Sus scrofa: one gene and its partners. The protein of the gene in region 2 interacts with the protein of the main gene of each other region in a biochemical or structural test. Links are inferred from orthologs where the notes say so. Each region holds a gene or a part of one and is shown on either strand. Other genes may lie near its edges.

Region 1 (10,399 bases), on a different chromosome or scaffold from region 2:
CACTGGGCAAGAGACACCGTCTGCCTGGCAGCAGCCCCCAGGAGGCCTCCACCTCAGCGGGGGCGGGGAAGCCCAGGCGGCAGCCTTGGGCGCGTGGACTGAGAGAAGCGGGCCCTCCTGGCCCAAGTGCAGAGGAGGGAAGGCCCATCAGCAGAAGCCCCGGGGAGGGAGGGCTTTCTCTGCCCAGGGGCAGCAGGCTCTTGGCTGCTCAAATCAACCCCACGTGTGGGGCACATACACGACACCCCCTGGTCACGGGAGAAAAGGGGAGATGCTCTTCCTGGAACAGAGGGCAGGGAGAGTCTGGAAAAGGCTGTGCTCAGGAAGGAGGGAGAAAGGCCACAGAACCAGCAAAGAGCAGTCAGGTGGGAAGGAAGGGCAGGAGACCAGGGCCAAGCTGGGGACACGGACAGACGAGAGGGAGGAGCACGTGATCCTCCCAAAGGACAGGTGGTTCCAGCTCAGGGCTGCACATCTCCTGCAGATGGGCACTGGTCAGGGGGCAGCAGCTCAGCCTCCCGGGGGGTGAAGGTCCCCAGGAGGGGAGACAGAGGCTACAACTGACCTGATGTAGGTGGACTGGTCTCGGAAGGTATCACACAGGGTGTTTCCATCGAGCCACAGCTCTTCTAGCTTCAGCCCTTTGATCTTGTCCAGCTCCCGCTCAGACTTCAGCTGCAAGGGAGGGGGGAAAAGGCGGGTAGGCAGCCAGCTGGATCCCCACTCGTGCCCCCCTGCCCCCCGTAATCCCCCTCGACTCTGAAACGCCCGCCCCCTGTCTCCCGCGGTCAGCACCCTCTGCCCACCCACCCCCCCTTCAGAACACAACCAGGCTCTCCATCTCACCTCGTTTCCAGAGAGATTTAGGATCTTTAGATTCGGTGCTTTCTGCACGATGTTGGACAAGTCATCCAGTCTGTAGAGCTTGTTATTGCTCAAGTTCAAGGACAACAGCTGTGGGGAGAGAAGAGTTTAGAGGAAGCACGGCCAGCGAGGGGATTAGAAACAAGCCTGCCATGAAGGCCCCTCCCATCTACACCACCCCCGTGTCCTCACGCCCCGCGGGCGGGACAAAGGCCTCACCTCAGGGATGTTCTCTTCGATGATGCGCAGGGCGGCTGCCATGCAGCTTCTGCGGTTCAGGACCACGTCGATGTTCTGGGCCACCAAGTCTTCAGGAAGGAAAGGGAAGTCAGTCTGAGGGGGTGTTGGGGCCCGCACCATTCTCCAACTTTCTCTGCCGGACTGAGCCCCCTCTGTCTCCAACCGTCTAAGCATTCCTGCTGTGGACCGTACCTGGGTCTGTACGGAGGCCCTTGAGGTCAAGGGCTTGCTGGGAGCCGTCGTATCGTTTGCTCATGATCAGCTACAGAGGAAGACAAAGCGTTCAGCAGCAGTTCAGCAGTCTCTGGGGCTGTGTGTGTGTGTGTGTGGGTGGGTAGGTGGGTGTGTGTGGGGGGTGACAACTGGAAGGACACACCCATTCAGCCCACCGGCCTCACCTTGAGCTGCTCGACTTGCTCCGGCTTCAGCTCGTTCTGCACAGTGTGGGGCGGCGGAGAGGAGTTGATGATGATAGATATCTGCGGACAAGGAAGACCCGGGGCAGGGTGAACTCGGGGAGGCCCGAGCCCCGGGACCGAGACTCAGTCGGAGCCCTGAGCACCAAGCCCCGCCCCCGAGCACGCCAGGCCCTTTGCACACACCCTGCGGTTCTCCCGATCCAAAATCTTATAGTTGACAGCCTTCAATGCCGAGGCGGTACTGGCGTCCTCGACAAAAAACTGGGCCCGTGTGTTTTCATAGTGAAACTGCCGGAAGAGGAAACAAGAGTGTCAGGCCTGGAGCCCAGAGCCCCTGGCCCAGCTGGTACCTCCACCTCCCCTGGGGCCCGGCCAGCCACTCACGCCGGAGTTTACCTCAATGGGAGTGAAAGGGACACTGCACTTGCTCTGAATCATGCCCAGGAGCCATGACTTGTCGTATTTCCTGCCATAAGGAATCTGGAGGAGAGAGAGAGAGAGAAAAGGGAACAGCGTACAACCATCGCTGACCAGCAGGCCTGCCCTCGTGCTCTCTTCATATCACCGGCCAGCTCTAAAACATTTTCGAAAGAAATGGCCAGTGAAAGCTTTTCTATTCAAGCCAAACACAGATTCCTTAACCTCCTCTTTGTCTATTTATACTGGGCAGAATTTTTCCTCAAAAGAATCAAACTGTTTCTTTTTTTTGGGGGGGGGGACCTAATTGTGGCCTGAAAAATTCCTGGGCCAGGTTTTGAACCCGTGCCACAGCTGTGACCCAAGCCACAGCAGTAACCCTGGATCCTTAACCTTGCACCACCAGGGAACTCCTCAAATTGCTTGATTCTAAAAGTTGCAAGGTGTCATTGATAACCTGCCTGGCTCAGAGAACCCCAGGGCCCCCAGCCGCCACGCTGGGCTTGAGGGCGATGGAGAAATCCGGAGGAGTCAGTCCAGCTCCCAACCACAGTTGCCACATTTCCCTTTAGATGCCCCCCCCAATCCCACTTGTCTCCTTCTCCTTTTCTGAACCTGCTCATAGGTTTTTTAAGACAGGGATTCTAAGGAGAAAGAATGGCCACCTGACTGTGGAGTGAGCCGCTGAGAAGCCCAACCTTGTGATGTGCGAAGGAAACCCCTCACCCTGGGCCCGGCCCCCCAGCACCCCGGCTCTGCGCCCTTGCCAAGACACTCACTGTAATCTTAAACCAGTTCTTTGAGGTCCCATCCTGGCTGGTGCCGGCTCCTCCCCTCTCTGGAGGAACTCTGTCTCTCCGCAGAGGCACCGTGACGTGAATTCGAGACCGCTCGTGCCAACCATCGCCCCGACGGTTGGGTCGCGGAGCATAGGGGTTGCTGTGGGGGAAGGAGGGAATCAAACATCCACAAAGTGAGGCCTGTCTTCTCGGGGACCTTCGTGCCCTGGTGTCCGGACCAGGCCTACGGCTGTTCAACCAGGAGGCTGGTTCTGGCATGTCTCTCTCGTCCAGCAACGAAGAGAAATGACACACGCACTGTGGTGAGAAGGCCACGGAAACAAACGGGTCGCTGAACTCAAACCGGACAAACTGGTTACTCACTATCGTAGTCGGGGAACATCCTGGGCGTCGCTCACTGCCACATCTCTGTCATCTTCCTCAAGGCGGGAAGACCGAATGCTAGAACCTCCCCTTGCAGAGCGCCGGTTCCCCTCGCCACACTTCCACCGGAAAGGGCCTCGGCCTTTCTTCCTTCTTTGAGGGAAACTAACTCGATCATCGTGCTCTGGGGTTGGAAACGGGACACAAATTAGAAAATACATCCCTGGTTCAGCTCCCCTACTGGGCGATCCCAGTATCCAGCACCCTGCACTACCAGACAGGAGACACACAATCACGACAGAGCCCACCTCCTGGCAAACTCCTCTGCCTGGCCAGGGAAAGAACCTTCTCCGTGGGATGGCAGCAAAAGGGAAACATCCCTGGAAAACTGTGTATAAGGCTTTAGAAAAATGAAGCAGAAACTGGAACTACAAAGGAGAAGCAGAATGTGGAAGTGCGAGTGTCCCGAGCAGTAACTGGACACAACTCACACTCGGTCAGGTCACCTGAAAACTGCCTGCTCTCAAGTGCCCAAGTCTACTTAACTCCACTGGAAATGTGGTCAGTGATTATATCTTGGGAAACCAATCACAAAGGAAAACCAATCACAAGGGGAAAAACCAATCTCAATGATTACATCAGCTCTGGTAAACAGGACTCTTGCCTATAGAGCACAAATGTCAGTTACAAATATGACCAATTTAAGACCTTTTTTTTTTTTTTTTTGGCTGCACCCACAAGGCATACAGAAGTTCCCAGGGCAGGGCTCAAACCCATGCTGCAGCAGTGACAGCATCAGATCCTCGACCTGCTGAACCACCAGGGAACTCCACAAGCATCTTCTAAAGTCTTGTTCTCCTCTCAAAAGACTAAAAATAGAACTACCATATGACCACCAGCAATTTCACCCCTAGATATACATCTAGAAAGAAATATATAATGCAAAAAGATTCATGTTCACGGTAGCACTATTTACAGTAGCCAAGCTATGGAAGCGATCCTAGTGTTCACCAAGAGACTAATGGATAAAGATGTGGTGCATACACACACACATAACGGAATACTATTCAGCCATCAAAAAGAATGAAATCTTGCCATAGTTGCAACATGAATGAACTTGCAGGGTATTACGTTTAGTGAAATAAGCCAGAGGGAAAAGGACAAATACTATGTGACATTACCTGCAGGTGGAATTTAAAAAAATAAAATGTATACAGCAAAACAGAAACAGACTCACAGATACAGGCAACAAACTAGTGGTTATGAGGGGGAGGGGCAAGATAAGGCAAGATATGGGATTAAGAGATACAAACTACTAAGTATAAGAGAGATAAGCCACAAGGATCTGTTGTACGGCACAGGGAATGACAACGATTATTTTCCAATAACTTTTAATGGAGTGTAATCTATAAATACAGGAATGACTATGCTGTACACCTGAAACCAACATTACATTGTAAATCAACCTTCCTCAATTTAAAAAGATTTAAAAAAAAAAAAATCTTGCTCTCCAACTGCCACTCTCAAGTGAATGTGAAGTGTGAGTGACCCAGAGTAACTGGACACAATTCGAACCCCTCAAAAGTCACCCGACATCCGCTTTCTGTGGGCCCACCCAAATCTACTTAACCCCGAGGTGACCCCTCTCACAGGTGGCAAATCCGTCCTCATGATTACACTAGCTTTCGGGGAAACAGCTCTCCTTTTGCCCATACAATACAAACACCACACACAGATAGGACCAATTTAAGGGCTTCTTTTAAAAGTCTTATTCTCAAACTGCCACTCTGAACGTTTGGGAGTGAGCTCTTTGTTTTCTTGGTCAGAAAAGGCTTTTAACTAAGGAGACAACTCCTGAATTCAGGTTCCAGTGGCAGTTAGGATGCTTCACCAAGGGTCCTCTCCAAGAATATGATCCTCTGAACCCTGGTGTGTAGGAAGCGCTTCTTAAAAAAGACCCATGAAGGAGTTCCCTGCGTGGCTCAGTGGTTAACGGACCCAACTAGGATCCATGAGGATGCGGATTCAGCCCCTGGCCTAGTTCGGTGGGTTAAGGATCCGGCGTTGCTGTGGCTGTGGTGTAGGCCAGCAGTTACATCTCTGATTGGACCCCTAGCGTGGGAACTTTCATATGCCTCGGCTGGGGCCCTAAAAAGCAAAAAAAAGAAAGAAAGAAAAAAAAAAAAAGACCCACGATACAGATGGCCTACAGGCACATGAAAAGATGCTCAACATCACTAATTATTAGAGAAATGCAAATCAAAGCCACAATAAGGTAGCACTTCACACCAATCAGAATGGCCAACATTAAAAAGTCCACAAAAACAAATGCTGGAGAGGATGTGGAGAAAAGGCAACCCTCCTACGCTGTTGGTAGGAATGAAAACTGGTGCAGCCACTACGGGAAAGAGTATGGAGGTTCCTTAAAAAACTAAAAATATGAGTTTCTCAAGAAGTTACCCTAGGAAAAAAGTAATAAATGCACACAAGTCGTTGCTAACATTCACTGAGCACTCTTCTCCAGTGTCAGGCACTATGCTCCAGGCACCTGACATGAATGATCTCGTTTTAACACACACACACACGGAGACAAACTCAGAAGGCTGGTACTGTTTCTATCCTCATTAAGGAGATGGAAAACGAAGTCTGAGGGTGTAAGTTACTCAAGCTTGGCATAGCCAACTCGGGATTGAAACCTCGGCTCCTAACCACCGCTCTGGACTAAAACTCAGTGTAGTGTTTGGACCAGAACATCGAGTTGATGTGCAGATCTAAAATATTAAGCCTAAGCGACAGACGCGTTAGGTGGGGGAGGGGGCAAAATCGCCTGGACGCGCGGTAGAAAATAGGGCACATCAGCCCAGGAGAAGGGCACTGACTCACATTAAACAGTTTGGCCGCCAAATTGAACTGACAGGCATCAACCACCCACAAAGTTCAAAGGAATCTCATCACCCCACCACTGAGCCACCTCTCCGAGTCGCAGGGGCCCGCAAAGGGAGGATCCCAGCGTCAACAACCCCGGCACCCAACCCTCAAGCTCACCCAGGCCCCCGGGCTGCCTCGCCCCGGGCCCGCGCCGCGCCACCGCCGTTCCCCGTGGACGCCGGGCCCCTCGCGGCCTCACGCCCCGGCGCTGCGGCCTAGGCTGGCGCAGCCCAGCAGGGCCCAAGATCGACCGGCTCCCCGACCCAAGGGCCAGCACTGACCGTTGTATGACTTCCCTTCGTCCGCCATGGCGCAGCGAGCAGGGGCGGGCTCTGTCGCGGCCCGCGACACCGGCAAACGTCCGAACGCCCAGGCTCTCCCGGCTGAAGTGCTCCTACGCCGGATGCCGCCGCATTTATGCGGCCAGCGCGTCGCGCGCAGCCGACGTCCCACGGTGATGGGCGGAACCACTGGGAGACGCGCGTGCGCATTCGACGAGCGGACTAGCCGGGGGCGGGACTTGGCGTTGCACGCCCCGCCCAGGACCTGAGCTTGGGAAGCCGAGTTACCGCGGGTTCGCCGGCCCCCTGCTTTCATCCACCCCGCCGCTAGTAGCTCTCTGCTGGAGCACCTCCAGGGTCAGCGGTGAAGCGGAGAGGTGGCTACTGCAGCCCAGGATTCCGAGAGGAACAGGGAAGAGGGGCTACAGGAAGGGCTTCCGAGGAGTGGGAGACCAGGCCCTTAGGAGCGGGAGTGACCGCACATAGACACCTAGAAGGATCCAGCCAGGGCAAGTCTCAGCTCAGCCCTTTGACACTTGCAGATCTAGGCCTCGGTCTCCTCGCCTATAAAATGAAATAGAAAACTAACGGTAAACTCCTAGAGAGCAGGGGCTTGATTAATTCACGGCTTTTTCTCTCCGGCACCTGACTGGATACCATACTTAGCACGCACGCAGCAGGAACCCAACATATATTTGTGAAATAACTACTGATCTATGCATTCCCTCCGAGAGAGTTGCAATCAAAGGAGAGAAAAACGGCATTTGCCAGGCTTTGGCTGTCTTCACAAACCAACCCACCCACCAACCCACCGGGATGTGCTATGCTAAACCCACGTCTTGTGTCAACTGGGCAGTGAGGAGGCCAGCCTGACCACACGCTGAACACAGGCCAAAGGGAGAGGAAATATTAAAATGCCATGGCTAGGAAAGACCTGGGCTCTCCTGGACCCCTCAAAGTACTGGGGCCAGCACAGTGTATAGTGACTGTTGTCTCTACAGCTTGAGCTTCCTTTCGGGTGTGTGAAGTGGGGGAACTCCAGTGATGCAGGATGATGTGGTTCTGGGTCCTGGTCAGGACTAGAAAGCATATTAACCTCCCTGGAGGGTGGGTGTTCCAGGCAGGTCACTCCTTCATTCTTCTGACTGGCTTGGATGTGGTGAGGGGCTTCAAGGGGACCAAGAGCCTCAGCTGGAGCTGGGAACGGATTCTTCATGTCACCTTCACTCCTAGCAGCAGGCAGGGCTCCTACTTCATCCAGCGCAAGTAAGTTTGGGGCCAAATGGTTGGAGCATGCAGATGAGACAGGTCCAAATACTTCTGGAGATGGTCCTGGAAGTTGCCGTCAATCAGGGACCCAGGCTGGGATCCTGTTACGGGCCTCTGAAGGGAAGTTTCCATGCTAACTAAGTGCTGCTACACCTGGAAACCCCCTGCGGGAGGCAGCTGTGTGCACAGAGTGAGTGAGCCTGGCCCGTCAGGGCCATCAGCCCAACCCTTTTAGTTATGATGCTGGGCAGTGGGCTCACTCCACTTGCTGCCAAGGCCCTTCGACGCTCCCACCCCGAAATGACGACATGGCTAGTGAGGCTGACAGTCTTGTTGTAATTGGGAGGAAACGGGCCGCAGCACATTTGGCAGATTGAGAGTCATCTGCAGCCAGAGTTGGGGTTGTGTAGGCAGCCAAAGGGCTCAGGGCCCCTTGCCTCACATGGTGAAGAGAGGAAGAGGTAAATTTTAACCCAGATGGGAAAGTTGGTCCCTGGGGAAGTTTCACTTCCTCTCCTCACTCTCAGGAAGGTGGGGAAGGGCATCATCTCCCCTTGCTGCCAGAGTTGAGAAAGGCTGGGGAGGGTTTATAAAAATCTCCAGTGGAGACAACCTCCCCGAAGAGCCCTCCAGTTGGCCTCTGCTCCCTTCCAGCCACTTCACAGCAGAGTCCAAATCCAGAACCGTGTGTTTCATGGGCCTGAGGATGGTGAGGGGAGGACAGGGTGGCCAGAGGCAAGGAGTGGGAGATCAGGGGCAGTGGCCGTTCTTAGCAGTTCCAGGGAAACAGGGCCTTTCTCCCAAGCACCCTGCACAGGCTCAGTGGCAGCTCTGGCCACCTGCCCTCCCAGGAGGGTTCCAAACCCCCACGGAATGCCTCAGCGTTGGAGAGGGTTCAGGCAAGGAAGACCACGAAGATGATGAAGAAGACAATGAGGATGAGGAAGATTTTGACCATAAGCCACCGGTTGGACGTGACCGACTGGAAGTACTTGAGGATCTCCGAGTGGGCGGCCTCAACGTCCAGCTGGGCTCCTAGCACGTTCTCGTCGATCCTGGAGAGAGGGCCGAGAGGAGGGGAAAAAGAGTGACACTTGATTAAAAGGAATGCTGTTGAAATGTATTTTTGTGTGTGTGTACATGTATTTGTAGATGGGAGAGCTCTGGGAGCTCCCATTGTGGCACACAGTAGGTTAAGAATCCGACTGCATCGGCTCGGGTCACTGCAAAAAACACGGGTCTGATCCCCAGCCCAACGCAGTGGGTTAGGTTAGAGGATCCGGCATTGCCACAGCTGAGGCTTGAATTCAACCCCTGGCCCAGGAACTTCCATATGCTGTGGGTGCAGCCGTTTAAAAAAGAAAAGAGGGGAGTTCCCATTGTGGCTCAGCGGTTAATGAACCCGACTAACATCCATGAGGATGCCAGTTTGATCCCTGGCCTCGCTCAGTGAGTGAGTTAAGGATCTTTTGTTGTCGTGAGCTGTGGTATAAGTCGCAGACGTGGCTAGGATCCTGTGTTGCTGTGGCTGTGGTGTAAGCCGGCACCGACAGCTCCTATTTGACCCCTAGCCTGGGAATCTCCATATGCCGTGGATGCAGCCCTAAAAAGACAAAAGACCAAAACAAAACAAAAAAATATATCTATATTACCCTTCCAGAAAATGCTCTGGAAGGGTAATATAAACAAATCTTGGCTCTGGTTTGAAAATCAGCTCTGTAGCATATGACCCTAAGCCAGTCACTTAACCCCAAGTCTCATTTTCCTCAACTGCAAAGGAGAAAATTCAGATAACACAAACCACACCTCTCTAGCTGCTGTCAGTCTTAAATGAGTAGAGTGCCTAACTCATACTAAAAGGACCCAAAATGTTAGTCATTATAATTTTTTGCACATCAGTATTTATGGATTTTTCTCTGATAAGCAGTATTGCCTTTGTAATAACGGGGGAAAGGTCACAGGCCATTATGGTCAGGAAACCCTGGTTCTGAGTGAGAAAGGAAGAAAAACTTGATGATACGGACAGAAAGGAGATAAAGAAAAGCCCCAGGGGAGTTCCTGCTGTGGCTTAGCAAGTTAACTCAACATAGTGTCTATGAGGAGGCAGATTCGATCCCTGGCCTTGTCAGTGGGCTAAGGATCCCGTGTAGGTCTCAGATGTGGCTCAGATCTGGCATTACTGTGGCTGTGGTGTAAGCCAGCAGCTGTAGCTTCAATTCAACCCCTAGCCCAGGAACTTCCATATGCTGCAGGTGCAGCCATAAAAAGAAAAAAAGAAAAGCCCAAGGGAGTTCCCTGGTAGTCTACCGGTTAAGAACTTGGCATTGTAACTGCTGTGGCTTGAGTTCGATTCCTAGCACGGGAACTTCTGCGTGCCACAGGCATGGCCAAAAAAGAAAGGAAAAGAAAAGAAAAGCCCGATATTAGAACATGTCTCTCAGGATATAGAGAAGTCCTCAGAAGAATGAATGGCAATCTCTTGAGAGGCTGCTGAGGAAAATAAAACATTTCCCAGCTAACGTGCATGTGCAATCCTGAAAACGAAATATGAACCCTGGTCTTTGCAAAGGGAGTCGCAGGGAGCAGAAACCATCGTGCGCTGTGAGGACAGAAAAGTTGGTGAAGGCTGGGAATCAAGTAGGCAAGTGAGAGGAAAGGCTGGGCTGGTGACTGCAAGTCCAAGGTCCTGGGAAGGTGGTCACGAGACTATCAGGTAATCTCTGGCCAAACACTGGAGCATGAATTGTATGATTCCCTGTTTATGTCAGAGAAGCTAACAAACGTATCAGGTTTCCCAGCTTTGGGCTATAATTACATT
Region 2 (9,082 bases):
AGGGAGGGGCGGCCTCTTCATCCAGCGTGGCCCCGTGTTTGCTACACTTAGGGCCCGAGAGCCGGGGGGAAGAGGCCCCCCCACCGCAAGCCAGGAGGCTGAAGTGGGCATCCACTTAGGATGGTTTGCCCTGCACGTAGGGCAGGGTCTGCAGGGCGAATGCCACCCTGAGGGAGAGCCTACTTGTGCCAGGTGCTCTGTGGGGAGCATGTCATAAACGCCTCCCGACCGCCCTGCACTTTACCACCCAGGGAGAAGCCCTTGTGACACTCGGAGGCGGGTCCCCCGAGCTGGTGAGGTTTAGGGCCAGGGTCAGCCTGCAAGGTCCACACCCCCTCTGTCCTGCCACAGACCTGAGCCGGAAACGTCTCTGGAAGTTGCCAGAAACAGAAAGCAAAACTGAAGGCCGCCGCAGGATGCATGTGGGGATGAGGGGCCACCAGCTCGGGTACTGACGGCTTCACAACACACGAGGGGACTTGTTCACCAGCCCGTTTTGTTCGCTGGGCTTTTCCTGCCCCTGAGAAACCCGATTCGTGGCCTCTGCCACTGCACTGCCCTCTGAAGCACCATGATGAGCACCGACACGTGGCAAAGCCCAGCGACACGACCCAGCTCAAAGGGCTGCCCCGTTTCCTTCCTGCCCGTCCGCAGTTACATAGGTGGAAACACACACTGAGCCAGTGGTGACTGCCCCACTGCACCTGGGGTCCCCTTTACCGGGACCGATCCCCACACCCCAGCTCTCGGTGCTTCTCCGTCTGCCCCTATTTGGGCAAGGCTGGTGCCCGCCGTCTTCCCCAGACAGGCGGGAAGCCCGATATCCTGGGAGCTTGGGTTTCAGGGGGTGTGTGCTGGCTGTGCTCAGAGATGACCCCTGCCACCTACCAGTGAACCGACCCCAAAAAAGGAGCTCAGAGGGGCTCCTGGGCCAGCAGCACATTCCCCGTGCCGCGGCCTGACAGCGATGTGGGGGTTATCTGGCCAAGCACAGCTGATATGGCCTTACAGAGAGATGCCACATGCCACCTCAATGCAGGATTAAGGCAGAGAATTTGAGGTCAAGGGTTTAGGCCAAACCAGCTTCTATTTATAAAAAAGAGCCTCTGGGGGGAACACAGGACAGGAGGTGGCCCTTGTCTGGGCGCTGGTCAGCAGGACATGCCGAGGCAGGTCAGCTCTTGCTGGCAGTCAGAGCTCCCCTAAAGCAAGGCCTCCGCCAGGAGCCTTCCCCTCAAAACCTGAGTGTCTCTGTCTCAAGCTGGCCCCGGTGCAAACCAGGGAGAGCACACGCGGGCGGAACGAGCCCTGCGCCTGGCTGGGTGACGTCTGGGGCTGGCTCCAGGGCCAAGGGGGCCTCATGAAGTGGACACAGGCTCTCAATGCTGCAAGGACGGAAAAGGGGACCTGTTAAGTTATCAGAGTCCAAGCTCCTTGAAGGCCACGGATGCCTTAATGGAAGATCTGGACAGAATCTGACCAACAGCACAGAAAACAGGCTCGGTCACCCAGGGACCTCATTCAGGTTTGGGGTTCCTGAAACCCGGTGAGCTGCACTCTTGAGACGCCCTCCTCTGCTGAGCCAGAGAAACCACTGAATTCTGTGCCCTAGGGTGCCCAGGCCCAGCCTCAGTCCTACTGAATCAGGACGTGCAGGTGTGAGCCTTGGGGGTCTCAGGACCCCCAGGGAGTGGGAGGCACCGGCAGAGCAGGCCCAGCAGAGCCGGTGGTGGCCCGGGGTCCCGGCCGAGGTGTACCCTCTCGACGGCCAGCGGAACCATCAAGGCCGCACTGGCTGCTGTGATGTGACAAACTAAACCACGGGGAACACCTTTATCACAGCCCCTAAAACATGACTTGCCAGCATGAAAAATCTGAACAGCTGCCCCTTTCCAAGCCTCTCCTGCGGATGACTCAGGCCACGGCGTCGTTGTATTCTGGACCCAGAAGATAACAAGGTTTTAGGCCTACGCTTGGTGTGAGGCAGTCCTGGTTGGTCAGCAACTGTCCAGGACATCGCAGGCCTAAGAACTAAAACACGCCCAGACGTGGGCATCGCCGCACCACGAGCAGGCGACACTAAGACTGAAGTCGCCACCTCCAGGCCGTCCTCGGGGACACTCCTGCAGTGACGCTGGGCGGCGGCAGCGTCTCCTCAACTCCCGGCTCCACCCAAGGGTTACATGCCCTGTGGTTCATGGACAAGGAGCCGGGAGGGGCCCCCATCGTCACTGTCACCTACTGGACATGAAAGCTGTCTTCGCAATCAACTGCCCAGCGCTCCTCAGAGCAGAAGACCTCACCAGCAGACACATGGCATCGAGGGCCAAATGGAGCAGACAGACAGACGTGCTCCAAGGACAGCACACCTGTCACCAGACCACACCCCGTCTTCCACACCTGCCTCACAGACACCTGGCCCGAGAGGCGCGAACACCCCTTCGGAAACTCAGCCGACGCCGGCCGAAGTGAGTCTCTTTGCCTCCACCCAGTCGTGAAGCTGGCACCTTGAGGGGCCCGATACCCAAGAGCAAAGACCCCGGAAGAAGAGACGAAGCTCTGGCCTCGAGAAGGCGGCTGGCCAGCACCGGCCTCTTCCCGGGGAGACCAGGGGAGGGCGTCTGGGACAAGCCCCTGCCTGTCCACGTCCTGCGCGGGACTGGATCCCGCTGGCCCTCTGGGAGGACACACACGGCTGGCGGGCGGAAGGCCGTGCAGGTTTCTCAGAGCCACAGGAACAAGGAGAGGCCTCTCCTCGGCTGCGGCCTGAGAGCGGGCCCACGCGTTCTGTGCAGAAACAGACGAAACGGTTTAATAGCGGGGGCGGGGCAGCGCATAACCAACACAAACACAGAACCAAACGAGCAGGCCAGCAGCTCCGGAGTTCGGTGTCTGCTGCTTCTTTCTGGCTGTGTATTTCAGCGAGGATGCCCACTTCAAAGGACTGCTCCGGGGCTTCTCAGCGATGAGGCGCTGAGACGCAGCTGGCTGGTCGCGGGAACAGAAGGAAGGGAGCACCGACAGGCGCTCAGCTCCTCCAGCCACCGAAGCCCTGGACGGACCTGCAAGGAAGTGCCGGGGAGGCTGATCAGCGCCTGCTCAGAGCAGCGGCTTCCAGACTCACGCGGCTGCCCGCGGGCTCTGAGTTTTTAATGTCCCGCAGCTCCACACAGAAGCACAGGGTGAGAGCCGGAGAGCAAATCCGGTAATGGGCTTGGAGCCCGGGAGGCAGCGTGAGGCTTCGGAGACCCGCACAGGGACGTCAGGAAAAGCATCTCAAGTCCTGCCTCCCAGGCCCTGCCCCTCAGAAGGCACGCTCTCTCCCTCCGGGGCGCGGCCCTGCGAGCAGCACCCTGTCGTCAGCACCTCCCGCCCTCTGCCCGCCGAGTTCTGCACGTCCGCAGAACCCAAGAGCTGCTGCGACCCGCCAAGCTTCCAGGACAAGATTTTGCAGCAGGAAAAATGGCCGCAAGCTACACACGCAGAGCAAAACCCAGCATTTTCACATATCAACACTCCTGCATCCTTATTTAAATGACGCAAAACTGGGAAAGATACTTACGAGCTAGACGATCCAAAGCTGAAACCTGAAAAAGAGGGAGAGGGGGCCGTTAAGCCACACGTACGTTTGAAAGACAAAGGTGGTCTCCAGGCCACGTTCTTCCCCGTGCGTTTCCCCAGGGAAAGCCCTGCTCCTCCGGCCGCGCGGGAAGGGCCGTGGCCTTCTGGGTATTGCAGGGTCCTCCCTCCTCCCCGACCGGCGTGGGCAGAGGGCCTTCGGCACGGCCCCCTCCCTGCCGCACCCACCACACAGGTCCCCCGCGTTAAGAAAGCGTGGTTGCTCCTCCCCCTACTTTCCCATCCACCCGCCTCCTCCTCGTCTGAGGCCAGAGCAGCAAGACACTCGGGTTCTAGTTTTCGTCTTTTGTCTTTTGAGGGCCGCACCTGAGGCACGTAGAAGTTCCCAGGCTGGGGGTCGAATCGGAGCTACAGCTGCTGGCCTAACCACAGCCACAGCAACACGGGATGCGAGCCGCGTCTGCGACCCACACCACAGCTCACGGCAACGCCGGATCCTCAACCCACTGAGCGAGGCCAGGGATGGAACCCAAGTGCTCACGGGCACCAGTCGGATTCGTTTCCGCTGTGCCACGGCGGGAAGTCCCAAGACACTTGGGTTCTAGACCTCGCTCTGCTGCTCACTGTCTGTCGCCCTGGAGTTTCTGGATCTTTGTTTGTAAAACAGTAACGAGGCCTATAACTTCTGTGTCTCACATGTATTGTAAGGAAAACAGCAGACCGTATATATCCTACTGTGTGCAGTGGAGTGTCAAACAGACGAATGACGTTTGGTAAAGTATGTGTTGTTTTTATTTTTCTGTATCTTATTTCTTGAGTCTGCTGGCTTAGATTTTTACATCAAGATCTAGTAGGATGGTTACTTTTTGGGAATCCTCAAATCCTGAGAGAAACATCAAGTGAGCCATCTCATTATTCGATAAGAAACGGCATGTTCCAAGTCTAATCAAAACCTTAAAAGAACACGCTGTCTTCCAAGCACCTTCAGCCTTTCACATACTGGACTGAACGGCCAGGAAAGGCCCCCCTTCTTTGGGAAGGGTTGGGGGCCAGGCGGGCATTTACCGAGGAAACCAGGAGGGCCCCTGTGCGGGAAGCTGTCTGGCCGCCTACCTCCTCCGCCTGATCCAAAGCCGGAGAACCCCCCGCTCTGGGTCCCAAACCCAGAAGACTGTTGGGACAGGGAGCCAAAAGTTGGAGCGTTCTGACTCGCCAGGGTGCCGAAGGACGTGGTGTTGCCGCCGCTTCCAAACCTGGGTTGGGGTGAGAGAGCAGACCGTGTCAGCGAGGCCACGGGGCCCCCCGCTGCCCAATGGCCTCAGTCCGTCCTCCTGAGTCCTGAGAGGCACGACACACACGATTCGAGGTGACGGGCTCGGCTTAATCTGGCAGCCTCTCAGGGAAAACAGGCTAGAGCCCGGCGCAAACCTTCCCCTCCGCTTTGGGGGAAATACAGTCTGAGGACCCCTGGTCCAGTGTTTCAGTCTCCATCTGACTGTCTGGAAATTCCAGGTCACTGGTCCTGCTCTAATCCCACTCCTGCCTCGGGCCTCTCTCATCCAACCGTGGGGACTCCTCAGATGCCAGCCGGGTCAGCGACGGCGTCACAGCCCGGGACCTGAAGAAAGGTGACGGCTCTTTTGGGGATTCCGACCAGAGCTGGCGCCAGGGAGCCAGCCAGTCAGGATGTACATGGGAGAGTAGCCTCCCTGGTCAAGGCAGAGCATGATCCTTTCTTACCAGTGAAGAAAACAGCTGGTTTCAAATAAACAAACAAACCCTCGAGATTCCCAGTCAGCTGCAGCATCACGGGCTGGGCGGTCACTGGCGAGACGAGTGTCCGTCAGAACTGCCAAGAATACTGGCTTAAAGGGATCCCAACCCTCCCTTGAAAGCGTTCCTTAAGTCTTGGGGTTTCCTGACTTCCTGGGAGCAACTCAAAAGACCCATCAGTCTCCATGCAAAATCCAAAAAGTAGGACTTGCTCGCGTTCCTCGAGCCTCTCCAGCGCTTCTGAGCCAGCATCTTCCACGGGGGGAATGGCCATGAATAAGGACCACCTAAGGTTTTTTTTTGGCTGTGCCCGTGGCACAGAGAAGTTCCACAGCAGTGACTACACAGGATCCTTAACCCGGCGAGCCACTGGGGAGCTCCAGGACCACTTAAGTTTATTTTCAAGACAAAGGTGCTATCGCCTCACCAACACGCAACCCAAGCACCCTGCCAGGTCTCCCCAACGCTTCAGCTTTACACGTCCTGGGCCAGTGCGGAGGCCACCGGAGGCCCCTCTGACGTGGATTTCAGACATTACTACCTCCTCTGAACGGGCCTCTTTGAGGCCATCAGCACGTATGTTTTAGTGGGGCTGTGGGCTATGTTCTCCTTGGGGTTTTGGTAAGCAGACAATTGCTAGGGCCCTTAACAGCAAGTCTCTAGAATGGCATTTTCAAGTGAGGCCATGCACAGGCAGTCTGAGCAGCTTCAAAGGCTGAGCAGTCCTGAGACTGCGAAACGCGTGCGGGGTCTCGGTGCCGCCTGCTGTGGAAGCTGGCCCAGGGGCTGCGGGCCCAATCCCTGCCCTGCGCGGCTGCAGTGGCGCAGGGGACACAAGGCCTGGTTGGCTCAAGGACAGAGGGTCTTCTGCACAACAACCCCGAGAGGAAAGAATCTGGTGAAAACGATTCATTCGGAATTTCCTATCAGAAGTCATCACACAAGGGTCAGTCCGGGCTGGAGCCAGCCACGGTGAGACGGATTTTCTTCCTGTAACCAATCCTCCGGCTCCACCCGGAGACCAGGCATCCACCAACCAGCACCCTCTGTACCGAGGGACGGCCACACAGCTGATGGGATCGTGTACTCGACAGAGCCTGGCTTGGCAGAAACGGGCCTGCCGCTAGGAAGAACAGGAATCCTAGAGCGCCTGGTTGGCTGATTTGGACGGAGGGGCTTTCAGCTCAGTCAAAAGTAGAGAAAACAGAACTTTCCAAAACAGGAGCACCGGGCCCTGGTGCTTTGCTGACCTGAGCTTGAGGGCTTCCCCAGGCCTCTCCCGGGGGGCTTACCCGAATCCTCCCGCGCTGGCGGCCGCTGTACCCTCTCCGAACACTTTGCCTCCCGTCGAGCCCAGAGGGCTTGTAAAGGCTGGGGCTGAACCGAATGCTGGCACCCCTCCAAACCCAGGGGATCCCCCAAAAGTAGGAGGGCTGCCAAACACTGGAGCAGCACCGAAGCCACCTGAGCAAAACAGAGGCAAACAGAAATAGGGAGAAAGAAAGAAGACAGGAAGAGAAGACAGTGAGCAGTGAGAAACCAAAAGAGGAAGGGAAAAAAGGGAAAAAAACATTAGAAAGTCAAATACAAAAAAGTATAGCAAAGGACAATACCCCTTCTCCAGCAAAATAATAAAACCACCCCGGATGCCAAACCATGACCACCCACCCTCCACAGCCAGCAGAGGGGTCTGGGGTCCACTTAGGAGAGCTCCCTGGAATTCTGAGAATCTAGCAGACCCTAGACGTCTGGGAGACCCCCGGTCCCTCCCAGAGGCAAGCTGGACACGTCAGCGCCACGTCTCCCTGGAGAATCTGAATGCCACCAAGAACCACCTTGGTGCATGTCAGACCCCTGCCCAGCCCCTCTGCATGTTCTGGGCTCCTCAGTGAAAACCCTCAAGACTCCAATCCCCACCCAGCTGTCAGAGGCCGCATCTCATTACTTAGCACCGTGCAGGCTGGGCGCCTGCTCCAGGGAGACACAGACTCTGAAACTGGAGGCTGAGACCCCGCTTCAGGGAGAATCTGGGAGCTGCGTTAGTGGAGAGGCATGGCCCTGGCGCCCGGCCAGGCGCTTTTGACTAATTTAGAGCCGCCTGGCTCTCGCATCTCTCCCTGGAGTCTCTCTCCCATACGGAAGAATTTTTTTAAACGCTCTCTCTGCGCAGTAAGGGACGACTCCTCAATCAAGAGGCACACGGTGCCTGGAGGAGGGCTGCTGCAGGAACGCGAGAAAGCGATCCATCAGCCGCGAGGGGAGCCCCGCATCCAAGACCCCCCCCACCCCCGGGTGGGCTCCGGGGCCCCCGGCGCAGGAAGGGTCAGGCCTGCGCGGGGTGGCCTCCCTGACTGGTGGAGGCCCACGAGGCAGGAAGAGCGGCTCCGTCTTCTGCTCCGGAAAGCGGGTCCCCAGGCCCCGAGCTGCTGCTTACATCATTCCTGGCCATTAGTACGGACACTCTATCACATTCTAGACTCTCCCTACATATTATACAGAGCAAGTGTCAACTGAACAGCACGGGGCAGAATGGACCAAGAAATGTGCTCTCAAGGACTGTGCTGCTGACAATGACGACTGGCCTAGGAGCTCTGGGGGCGATGGTGGCCTGGGCACAGCCACCAGGGGACTTGCCCAGGGACAGGGGACCTCATTCAGGCCCCTTTCAGAAAGCGAATCCTGCTGTTAGAGGGCCACTCAGGCCTTCTTACTCCAGGTATAACCACAGCCTGAGCTTCTGCCTCTGAATCGGAAAGATCAAATACTGGATATGAAAGGCTGTCCGTGGGATCCCTTCGCTCGCTGCTACCTGGGGTTCAATCGTTTGCCCATTTGCCTTTAGCAGCAGAAGCACAGACGAGATGGTACCTCCTGTGAGGCTCCTGTCTGGGTTTACACTCTGCGCTTTAAACCCTGAGTGAAATTCCAAGCCGTGGCGACGGAGGCCGCTGGGTTACAACTGTAACAGACTGGAAAAAAGAAAGTGCTAAAAACCCTTGCCGTTGAATTATTTAGGACGGACGACAGATCTGGTTACACTTTCTTCCTGGACCCACAGGCTTTACCTAGTGCCCAGTACTCAATACTGCTCCGAGTTCTCGGTAGAAGGTGAGTGAAAAGTGAGAAGTCGCAATGATACAGACCGTAAACCGGACAGGGGAGGGGAGGGGACACACGCGTGCACACGACACACCACAGCTGCCTATTCTCATGATTTCCTTCTCCAGAAGAAACAGGAATTTAGGAGTCATCACTGATGGTAACACTTCTGAGGTCTGGTTTACTGAGGGCCCTCCAGGGGCCAGCGGCCAGGGGCTGGACAGCAGTTTGCCTAAGGAACCCTGCATCCCTATGTCTCAGGTGAAGAAAATGAGGCTCACAGAACATGCCCCTTGTCGCAGCTGGGCCAGCTCGTAGGTGGCAGAGCTGGGCCTGGGACAAGGTCTCTGTGACTCAAAAGGCCGCCCATCATCTACCCACTACGTGCCAGGCTGCCACCCTGCACTGCCAGCAATGCCCGAGACAGAGCGATGCGGTGACCCGGGGGCGGCAGTAAGCTTGTCTGGAGGCTGTCCCGCCTGCGGGCCTCTCCTCCAGTAATGCCAGGAGGAGCATCTCCTGATGCAACTGCGCTCAAGGGACCAAGGAAGCTATTGGAATTATTTCAGAGACCAATGCAAACCATCAACCTAAAATCCCTTGAGTCTTCAATCAAGGTGATTTCATGGGG
Region 3 (10,403 bases), on a different chromosome or scaffold from region 2:
GATTCCATTTATACATTTTGGAAAATGTAAAACTAAAACGACAGAGAACAAAGGAGCAGTTGCCAGAGAAGGGCAGGGACAAGGAGGTGAATGCTGAAAGTTTGAGGGAACTTTTCAGAGTGGTGGAAATGTTCTGTATCTTGATTGTGGTGGTAGCTACACAACTGTATCCCTCTGTCAAAATTCACAGAACTGTAACACTAACAGTGGTGAATTTTACTTTATTTAAACTGCATCTCAATAAGCTTGACTTAAAAAAATTGAAAGGCAGACCAAGAGAACCAACATTCGACTAATGTGAGTCTAGAAGGCAGGAATGAAGAAAAACCTAAAGGGAAGAAATCAACAATGAAAACTTTCTAACCTAAAGTTAGAAGGAAAGAAATCAAAAAGATCAGAGCAGAAATCAGTGAAATAGAAACAAAGAAAACCATAGAAAAGATCAATGAAACGAAAAGCTGGTTCTTTGAAAAGATCAACAAAATTGATAAACCCCTAGCCAGACTTATCAAGCAAAAAAGAAGAGAGGACTCAAATCAATAAAATTAGAAATGAAAAAGAATAAGTAACAATGGACACCATAGAAATACAAAGGATCATAAGAGACTACTATATGCAACTATATGCCAATAAAATGGAAAACCTAGAAGAAATGGACAAATTCTTAGAAAAGTACAATCTTCCAAGACTAAACCAAGATGAAATAGAAAAGATGAATACACTCATCACAAGAACTGAAATTGAAACTGGTATTAAAAAACTTCCAACAGGAGTTCCCGTCGTGGCGCAGTGGTTAACGAATCTGACTAGGAACCATGAGGTTGCAGGTTCGATCCCTGCCCTTGCTCAGTGGGTTAAGGATCCGGCGTTGCCGTGAGCTGTGGTGTAGTTGCAGACGCGGCTGGGATCCTGCATTGCTGCGGCTCTGGCGTAGGCTGGCAGCTACAGCTCCGATCCGACCCCTAGCCTGGGAACCTCCATATGCCGCGGGAGCGGCCCAAAGAAATAGCAAAAAGACAAAAAAAAAAAAAAAAACCACTTCCAACAAACAAAAGTCCAGGACCGGATGGCTTCACAGGCAAATTCTATCAAACATTTAGAGAAGAGCTAACACCTCTCCTCCTGAAACTATTTCAAAAAATTTCAAGGAAGGGATACTCCCAAACTCATTCTATGAGGCCACCGTCACCCTGGTACCAAAACCAGACAAAGACTCCACAAAAAAGAAAACTACAGGCCAATATAACTGATGAACATTGATGCAAAAATCCTCAACAAAATACTAGCAAACCACATCCAACAATACATTAAAAGGATTGTACATCATGATCAAGCGGGATTTATCCCATAAATACAAGGGTTCTTCAGTATCCTCAAATCCATCAGTGTGATACACCACATTAACAAACTGAAGAATGAAAACCATATGATCCTCTCGATAGACGCGGAAAAAGCCTTTGACAAAACCCAACACCCAATTCTGATAAAAACCCTTCAGAAAGTGGGCATAACGGGAACCTACCTCAACATGATAAAGGCCATATACGACAAACCCACAGCGAACATCATTCTCAATGGTGAAAAGCTGAAACAATTCCCGCTGAGATCAGGAACAAGACAAGGATGTCTGCTCTCGCCACTACTCTTCAACATAGTTCTGGAAGTCCTAGCCACAGCAATCAGAGAAGTAAAAGAAATGAATCCAGATTGGAAAGGAAGAAGTAAAACTATCCCTATTTGCAAATGACATGCTACTATACCTAGAGAATCCTAAAGACTGTACCAGAAAACTGTTAGAGCTTATCCACGAATTTGGCAAAGTTGCAGGATACAAAATCAATACACAGAAATCGATAGCGTTTCTATATACTAACAATGAAAAAGCAGAAAAGGAAATTAGGGAAGCAATCCCGTTTACCATCGCATCCAAAAGAATAAAATACCTAGGAGTAAACCTACCTAAAGAAACAAAAGACCTGTACTCTGAAAACTACAAGCCACTGATGAAAGAAATCAAAGATGACACAAATAGATGGAAAGATATACCATGCTCATGGATTGGAAGAGTTAATATTATCAAAATGACTATACTACCCAAGGCAATCTACAGATTCAGTGCAATCCCTATCAAATTACCAAACTGCATGGTACTGGCACAAAGACAGAAATACAGATCAGTGGAACAGGATAGAAAGCCCAGAATTAAACCCATGCACTTACAGCCAACTAATCTATGACAAAGGAGGCAAGACTATACAATGGAGAAAGGACAGCTTGTTCAATAAGTGGTGCTGGGAAAACTGGACAGCCACATGGAAAAGAATGAAATTAGAACACTCCCTAACACCATACACAAAAATAAACTCAAAATGGATTAAAGACCTAGATGTAAGACCAGACACTATCAAACTCCTAGAGGAAAACATAGGCCAAACACTCTCTGACATAAACGACAGCAACTTCTTCTCAGATCCACCTATCAGAGTATTGACAATAAAAAGAAAAATAAACAAATGGGACCTACTCAAACTTCAAAGTTTCTGCACAGCAAAGGAAACCTTAAACAACACAAAAAGACAACCCACAGAATGGGAGAAAATCTTTGCAAGTGAATCGACTGACAAGGGATTAATCTCCAAAATTTATAAATACCTTCTGCAGCTTAATACCAAAAAAACAAACAACCCCATCCAAAAGTGGGCAGAAGATCTAAACAGACAATTCTCCAAAGAAGACATACAGATGGCCGAGAAACACATGAAAAGATGTTCAGCGTCACTCATTATTAGAGAAATACAAATCAAAACCACGATGAGGTACCTTACACCAGCCAGAATGGCCATCATCCAAAAGTCTACAAACAATAAGTGCTGGAGAGGGTGTGGAGAAAAAGGAACCCTAGTACACTGTTGGTGGGATTGTAAATTGGTGCAACCACTGTGGAAAGCAGGATGGAGATTCCTCAGAAAACTAAAAATAGAACTACCATTTGATCCAGCAATCCCACTCCTGGGCATCTATCCAGAGAAAATCACGACTCGCAAAGACACATGTACTCCAATGTTCACTGCAGCACTATTTACAATAGCCAAGACATCGGAACAACCTAAATGTCCATCAACAGAGGAGTGGATCCAGAAGATGTGGTACATATACACAATGGAATATTACTCAACCATTAAAAAGAACGAAATACCAGCATTTTTTGCAACATGGATGGACCTAGAAACTATCATGCTAAGTGAAGTCAGCCATACAATGAGACACCAACATCAAATGCTTTCACTGACATGTGGAATCTGAAAAAAGGACAGACGGAACTTCTTTGCAGAATAGATGCTGACTCACAGACATTGAAAAACTTATGGTCTCCGGAGGAGACAGTTTGGAGGGTGGGGGGATGTGCCTGGGCTGTGGGATGGAAATCCTGTGAAATTAGATTGTTATGATCATTATACAAAAAAAAAAAAAAAGAAAGAAAGAAAAAAGAAAACTTCCTAGAAAATTTCCCATAACTCAAAGACAAGAGTTTTCCAGACTGAAGTTCCCACCAGTGCCTCATAAAATGAATGAAAACAGACCTATATCAGGACACACCATCATGAATTTTTTGACTACTGGAGACAAACAGAAGATTCTTCAAGCTTAGAAAGGGAAAAAGGTCACATCAGGAATCAGAATGGTCTCACACATCTCAACAACAAATACAGAAATATAGAAGGCAATATCACAGGAAAATAACTCCCAACTTACAGTTCTACACCCAGCCATACTAGATGATAGGAAAAATAAGCTAATATTGGAAAGGCAGCATCTTAAATATTTTACTTCCCAGACACCTTCAGAAAGCTGATGAATGGCTCCACCAAATCAAGGAAGATGAAGAGAGGGGATGCAAAAAGGAGGGGATCCAATACAAGCGAAGAGGAGGAAGCCCCCAGAATGAGGACAAAGGGAAATCTGCCCTGTTCCCTTGAGCCCAAAACAAGTCAGAGCAACTAGTACAATTTGAAGGAGGCTAAAAGACCTGGGAGAAATGGAACTAATAGAATATTTGATGTGTGTGAATATTCAGAAATAAACATAGACAGCAAAGAGCCTGGGGTTGAACTGGTGATGAGCACAAAGTGCACAAAGCAAAAACACAAGGCACTTCTAAATTTCAAGGAAAAGTTGTATAGCAAATAAAAATATTCATGACTTACTAATAATATAAACACAGATGACTGATCTAATTAAAACCCCAAATAATAGAAAGATTAGGAACCGGAAAGTGTGCTTTAGTGGCAGGGAAAGGATTGAGGAAAGTGTCAAAATCAATAAACACTTAAAACAGAAAATTCAAGAAGTAGCAAAAGCAAGCATGTTATTCAGGGAACAAGCAGGTCAATGCTGTAAATCAATTTCAAGAAAAATAGTTTACTCTGTGGAGGAAAAAACTGGTGGGAACCAGTTTTAAAACTATTTGACTCTTGGAGTTCCTGTCGTGGCGCAGCGAAAAAGAATCCGACTACGAACCATGAGGTTGTGGGTTAGATCCCTGGCCTTGCTCAGTGGTGTAAGGATCTGGCAGTTGCTGTGAGCTGTGGTGTAAGTTGCACATGTGGCTAGGATCTGGTGTGGCTGTGGCGCAGGCCAGCATCTGTAGCTCCCATTAGTTCCCTAGGCTGGGAACCTCAAGGCAAAAAAAAAACCTATTTGACTTTTTACGTACATATGAAACATTTTTATCAGTTATAAAAAAATAAGACCAAGTCCTTGTTCTTGAGAAGTTAACAGACATAAGTACCGACAAAGTGCATTCAAAGCAGTATCAGAATTCAGGAGAGTTAAGGCAGGAAAAATTAATTCTAACGTTTAATGCATATCTTGCTTACTGTGTGTCAGATCCAGAACGAAGTTAAGCGGACCAGGAGAGGATTTAACTGACTGCCAGGCCTACGGAATCGATCATTCATCCTTACTGAGCAGCTGAGGAAGCACACTAATATGAAAAAGTCACGGTCCCTGAGCCCAAACAACTCAAAATCGGCAGGTGGAAAAAAAACACCTACAAAGGTGATTACTACAATTCAGGGTGGTAAGTGCAAGCCTGACTTCAGGACAAGCAGGCGGCTGGGATCTTCACGGATGGAAATGCTCACCTGAGCCTACGTAACCGACAGGAGAGGCGACGGGTGGATAAACTAAGCCAGCTCAGGGTCCAGGCTCCATCCGCTCACGCACCCCATCCCGGGCCAGACCAACCTGGCAGTGTCTTTTCCCAGGGATCTGATCTGCGGTCAAAACTGGCCCCCTGATCTTTTTATAGATGAAGCCTACTCACCGACTCAGCCGCCGCTTCCTGCTGGTCCACCGCTAGGGCCCATGAGTCGGTGGCCATAGTCCCTTGCGCCGGTGGGAGGCAGGTGCTGGCGACCTTGCCCGGGCGATCCGCAATCCTGGGCAACCCTGGGCAACCCTGGCCCCACGGAGGGGGAAGTCATTCGCTCCGGCGCTGGGGACCGGAAGCGGCGCGCCGCAGTGACGTCGGAGTCCGCGCCGGCCTGACAGCCCCTAACCCCATGGACTGTCGCTCTTGCCGCTTTCGGACCCCCACCCCTTGAACTGCTCAGAGTTTCTTATTCAACACGCAGAACTGCAGACTGGGACAGTTATCTTTAAGTGCCGAAGCTCCTGCCAATGGGCTCTCCAACCGAAGAACAAAACCACATTCTTGCCCAGCACAGTGACAAAGATGTCAGAATATAAATAAACGGAATATACCAATACACAAATCCATTACGATAGTGAGCAAAATGAACCTGAAAAAGGCGGATTTTTATTTTATTCATTTTTCCAGGTTGGTAAATTTAAATGTGCAGGTGTTGCCTAGAGTGTCGAGAATCAGCCCTCTCAAACACTGGTTAAAAATTTGTCCCACAGACTGTATGGCAATACATTTACAGGAATTTAATCTTAAAAAAAATGCTCAGCAAGGGTGCTAGGGAAATGTATTCCAAGTAGAAGATCAGAGATACAGAGTAACCGAACTGTGTGTGTGTGGAACTGAACACAGTTTCTCGACCAATGACAAGAACCAGATAAGAATAAATTGGTAAGGGCTGGATGAAAAGGGCTGCACAGAGCAGTTTAATGAGCAAATGAGTTCACTTCAGGGAACTCGCCAATCTGGTGTGACTTTTAGATTTAGCCTTGCCTAGGCTAGAATCCCAGCTCTCTCATGTAAAGGTTCTGTGATTCAGATCATTTTTAAAAAGAAAAGGCGGGGGGGATGGAGTTTCTTGGTGGCTCAGTGGGTTAAGAATCCAGCACTGTCACTGCTGTGGCTCTGGTAACTGCAGCGGCAAGGGTTCGATCCCTGGCCTGGGAGCTTTGCAGGTGTGGCCAATAAATAAATAAAATTTCTAAAAATACTGGGCTTCTAGAAGAAGTAAAATAAGGATTAAGTGTGACACTTTCCCTTAACTGGGATCAAACAAGCTTCTCTTTCCTTGTTACTTCACTAGAATGAAACTGGGGAGTTCCCGTCGTGGCGCAGTGGTTAACAAATCCGACTAGGAACCATGAGGTTGCGGGTTCGGTCCCTGCCCTTGCTCAGTGGGTTAAGGATCCGGCGTTGCCGTGAGCTGTGGTGTAGGCTGCAGACGCGGCTCGGATCCTGCGTTGCTGTGGCTCTGGCGTAGGCCGGTGGCTACAGCTCCGATTCAACCCCTAGCCTGGGAACCTCCATATGCCGCGGGAGCGGCCCAAGAAATAGCAACAACAACAACAAAAGACAAAAAACAGAAAAAAAAAAAGAAAAAAGAAACTGGGTATTTCCCTACAACCTGAGTGAGAAATGAATCCCCACCTCTCTTGTTTTGCCAATAATCCACTATAACAGATTAACTTCAAGTAATAGTGGGCTTTATTTGGAATTTTACCTGTAGACTCTAAGTTAAAATGTTTGGGAAAGGGTAGAGCACTTCCCAGAATCCTCTTCTTGCCATGACTCTTTCTCTCCTGCACTCTTTACAGGGTTAACTTGGGGAAGATTTCTTTGGACCCTACAGGTGAGGGTGTGCACGAAAAAGGCAAACATACAGTCTAACAGGCCATGACCTACAACTCATGTCAGAAGGAATCCTGGAAAGTTCTGCCAAATTATACTGATCACAGGGCTAGAAGAGGTTAAGGAACTTTTAAATTTAATGAGATTAAAAATAATCATCAAAGATATAGGACTGTAAACAGTAGGATCCATTTGTGCAAATATAACAAACTCACATATATGCTTGTACATACTAAGACAGTGTATAAGATACACACAAAACTGGTATCACTGGCTGCTTCTAGTGAGGGGCTCTAGAGACTTCCTTTCATTGTGCACACTTCATCCTTTGAATAAATTTTCCATGTGCATGTTTTCCTTTTAAAATTGTACTTCAGACAAACAAAAAAAGGGAATACTATAACAAACATCTAGATTCCCACCTCAGGACTGAAATAAAACAAGATTCAAATGAAGCTCCTTCCATGCCATCCCGAGACAGAAGCTTTCTTGAATTTTAGTGCTTTTCTTTCCTATAAATGCTTTTAGTATGTACAACTTTTTCTATTAAAAAAAAAAATCTCAAGGAGTTTCCTGGTGGCTCTGTGGATTAAGGGTCCAGCTGTGTCACTGCTGTGACCCTGGTTACCTGTAGTGCTGGTTCGGTCCCTGGCCTGGGATCCTTCCCCTGGCCATGGGTACGACCAAAGAAAAACTTAAAAATAAGCCCCAGGGTTCTAGACTTTCCTATGTCCACTCCCAACACCTGCACCATTTAAGACTCCTACTAAGAAGGAATCGGATTTCCAAAGAGGGGAGTGGAGCGAGGAATCGGGGGAATAAGAGCACCTGGATCAGAATTCCACCTCCAGCATTTTCACTCACGCGACTTTAGGCTGCCCCTGTCTCCTCTGAAATCACGGTAGGCACCCACCTCCGGTCCCAGGACTCAGTGAGATCACAAGATTAAGGCCTTCGGTCCAGTGCCTGGCCAACGGTGAAGGCTCGATTAAATATAAGCTATTATGGTTATTCCTGTTCCCTCCCCTGGGGTGGGGGCGAGGAGAATGCCTTAATGAGGAAAAAAGAGTCTCCTTCCTACCCTCAGAGATACTCACATCGCCCACAGGCAGGGCGAGCGGAAAGCACCCTAGAGCTTGTTCTCGGACACGGCCAGCAGCCCCGGCCATCGTCCTTCAGCATGGCGGTTCCTTCGGCCAACGGCCGCTCACAGCCCCCGCCTCATTGGCTGAGGCCCGGAAGCCGGTCCCGCCAGCCAATCAGAGGGGAGGATGGCAAGCCTGGCCCTGGCGCGCCGAGGTACCTAGGAGCAAAAGGCCTGGGTCTTGGCTCCACCAGGGGTCGCCTTTGGGTATTCGAGACTTTTTCCTTTTTTTTCCACTTTAACTTTTTAAAAGTTATTTTTGGCCAAATGTCAGGCTCCCTCCTTAAACTGGGAACTGCATAAACGCAAGGGCAGTGTCTGTTCTCCTTAATTTTGATCTCTACAGTCTAACATATAACAGACTTATATGGTGAATAAATAGATTAGGAATGCACATACACTCCCCACTCCCCCGATCAAACTTTTTAATGTTTGCCTCTGAACAAATATGTGAAGAAGCTCATTTTCTAGTTTAGACCACTGGTACTCCAAGTGTGATCCCCTAGCAGTAGCATAGATAACACTAGGGGGCTTATTAGAAATGTGCAAAGTCTCGAACTTTGCTCCAGATCTACTAAATCGGGATCTGCATGTTAAGATCCTTAGGTGATTCCTACAGCACTTCATGGTATGAAAAACAACTCTTCAGCCAATTCCATTTGACTTGATGGTAAATAAATGAACATTCAAAGTCCATTTTATAAATGATAAAAGTAGCTTAGGGAGTTCCTATTGTGGCTCAGTGGGTTAAGAATCCAACATAGTATCTGTGAGGATGCAAGTTTGATCCTTGGTTAAAGATCCAAGCATTGCTTGAAGTTGTGATGTAGGTTGAAAATGTGGCTTGGATCCCATGTTGCAGTGGCTATAGCATAGCTGCAGCTCTGATTCAACCCCTAGCCTAGGAACTTCCACTGCAGATGTGGCTGTGGGGGAAAAAAAGTTTGCTTAGGTGCTGTAGAACCTAAGAGTACTTCCTTCCAAAACTAAGTATATTAGTAGCACTATCTTGAGCCCCTGTTACCTTCATCTTGCCTGGAGTTGACGGTCAATCAATATTCTACTGCAGAGCAAGCTCTGTATGTAGCACTCACTCTTACCTGCAGGCTATTTGTTTAGCCCAGAATAAATTAGATGTTTCCTAAAACAGACAACTAGCATGTTGCATTAATATAGTTTTCCTGGGAGTTCCTGTCATGGCTAATCGGTTAACAAATCTGACTAGCATCCATGAGGACGCAGGTTCCACCCCTCTCAGTGGGTTAAGGATGGGCGTTGCCATGAGCTGTGTTGTAGGTCACAGATGTGGCTTGGATCCTGGAGTTGCTGTGGCTGTGGTGTAGGCCGGCAGCTACAGCTCCTATTTGACACCTAGCCTGGAAATCTCCACATGCTGCAGGTGTGGCCCTAAAAAAAAAAAAAAGTAAAAAAAGAGATAGTTTTCCTGGAGCTCCCGTTGTGGCACAGCAGTAACGAATCTGACTAGTAACCATGAGGTTTCCGGTTACATCCCTGGCCTTGCTCGTAGGTTAAGGATCTAGCATTGCTGTGAGCTGTGGTGTAGGTCGCAGACATGGCTTGGACCCTGCGTTGCTGTGGCTGTGGCATAGGCCGGCAGCTATAGCTCCAGTTCGACCCCGTAACCTGGGAACTTCCACAGGTGCAACCCTAAAAAAAAAAAAAAAGGATAGTTTTCCTTCTATGACTTCCCATTGTGGCTCAGTGAAATGAACCCAACTAGTATCCATGAGGATGTGGGTTCAATCCTTGGCCTTGCTCAGTGAGTTAAGGTTTGGGTGGTGCTGTGAGCTGTGGTCTAGGTTGCAGATGCAGCTCGGATCTGCTGTTGCTGTGGCTGTGGTGTAGGCTGGCAGCTGTAGCTCCAATTTGACCCCTAGACTGGGAACCTCCATATGCCTCAGATGTGGCCCTAAAAAGCCAAAAAAAAAAAAAAAAAAAAAAAGGATCCAGGGTTGCCACGAGCTTTGTTCGCAAAGTAGCTGCACCTTCGGCCCTAAAGGAAAAGATAGTTTTCCTTCTATTAAAAATATTTTCTTATGGCCACACTCATGGCATATGGAAGTTTCCAGACCAGGAACTAATCAGAGCCACAACTATGGTAACATTCGATCCTTTAACCCACTGTGTCAGGCTGGGGATCAAACTCGCACCTCTGCAGTGACTGGAGCCACTAGGAGTTGGATT

What was found.
Region 1: the proteins of NUP214 (region 2) and NXF1 form a complex in vitro, tested with the Homo sapiens proteins (4 studies listed by BioGRID and IntAct). The link is inferred for Sus scrofa from reciprocal best matches to the Homo sapiens genes NUP214 and NXF1.
Region 3: the proteins of NUP214 (region 2) and DDX19B are reported together in a solved structure, tested with the Homo sapiens proteins (2 studies listed by IntAct, with this or other methods). The link is inferred for Sus scrofa from reciprocal best matches to the Homo sapiens genes NUP214 and DDX19B.

What each region holds. Positions count from the first base shown.
Region 1 is NC_010444.4:8,966,009-8,976,407, reverse strand, and holds the start of NXF1 (nuclear RNA export factor 1), read right to left. Parts: upstream 6,341-10,399; coding exon 6,313-6,340; intron 3,288-6,312; coding exon 3,104-3,287; intron 2,880-3,103; coding exon 2,720-2,879; intron 2,004-2,719; coding exon 1,920-2,003; intron 1,812-1,919; coding exon 1,707-1,811; intron 1,584-1,706; coding exon 1,503-1,583; intron 1,367-1,502; coding exon 1,297-1,366; intron 1,173-1,296; coding exon 1,084-1,172; intron 955-1,083; coding exon 847-954; intron 676-846; coding exon 566-675; exon of another isoform or gene 1-565. Other genes in the region: STX5 (syntaxin-5), read right to left, coding at 8,477-8,636.
Region 2 is NC_010443.5:271,203,999-271,213,080, reverse strand, and holds the end of NUP214 (nuclear pore complex protein Nup214), read right to left. Parts: intron 6,817-9,082; coding exon 6,645-6,816; intron 4,833-6,644; coding exon 4,693-4,832; exon of another isoform or gene 3,588-4,692; coding exon 3,563-3,587; intron 3,063-3,562; coding exon 3,029-3,062; 3' UTR 2,789-3,028; downstream 1-2,788. UniProt on the Homo sapiens protein: Part of the nuclear pore complex. Has a critical role in nucleocytoplasmic transport.
Region 3 is NC_010448.4:13,323,360-13,333,762, reverse strand, and holds the start of DDX19B (ATP-dependent RNA helicase DDX19B), read right to left. Parts: upstream 5,523-10,403; 5' UTR 5,384-5,522; coding exon 5,327-5,383; exon of another isoform or gene 4,888-5,326; intron 1-4,887. UniProt on the Homo sapiens protein: ATP-dependent RNA helicase involved in mRNA export from the nucleus.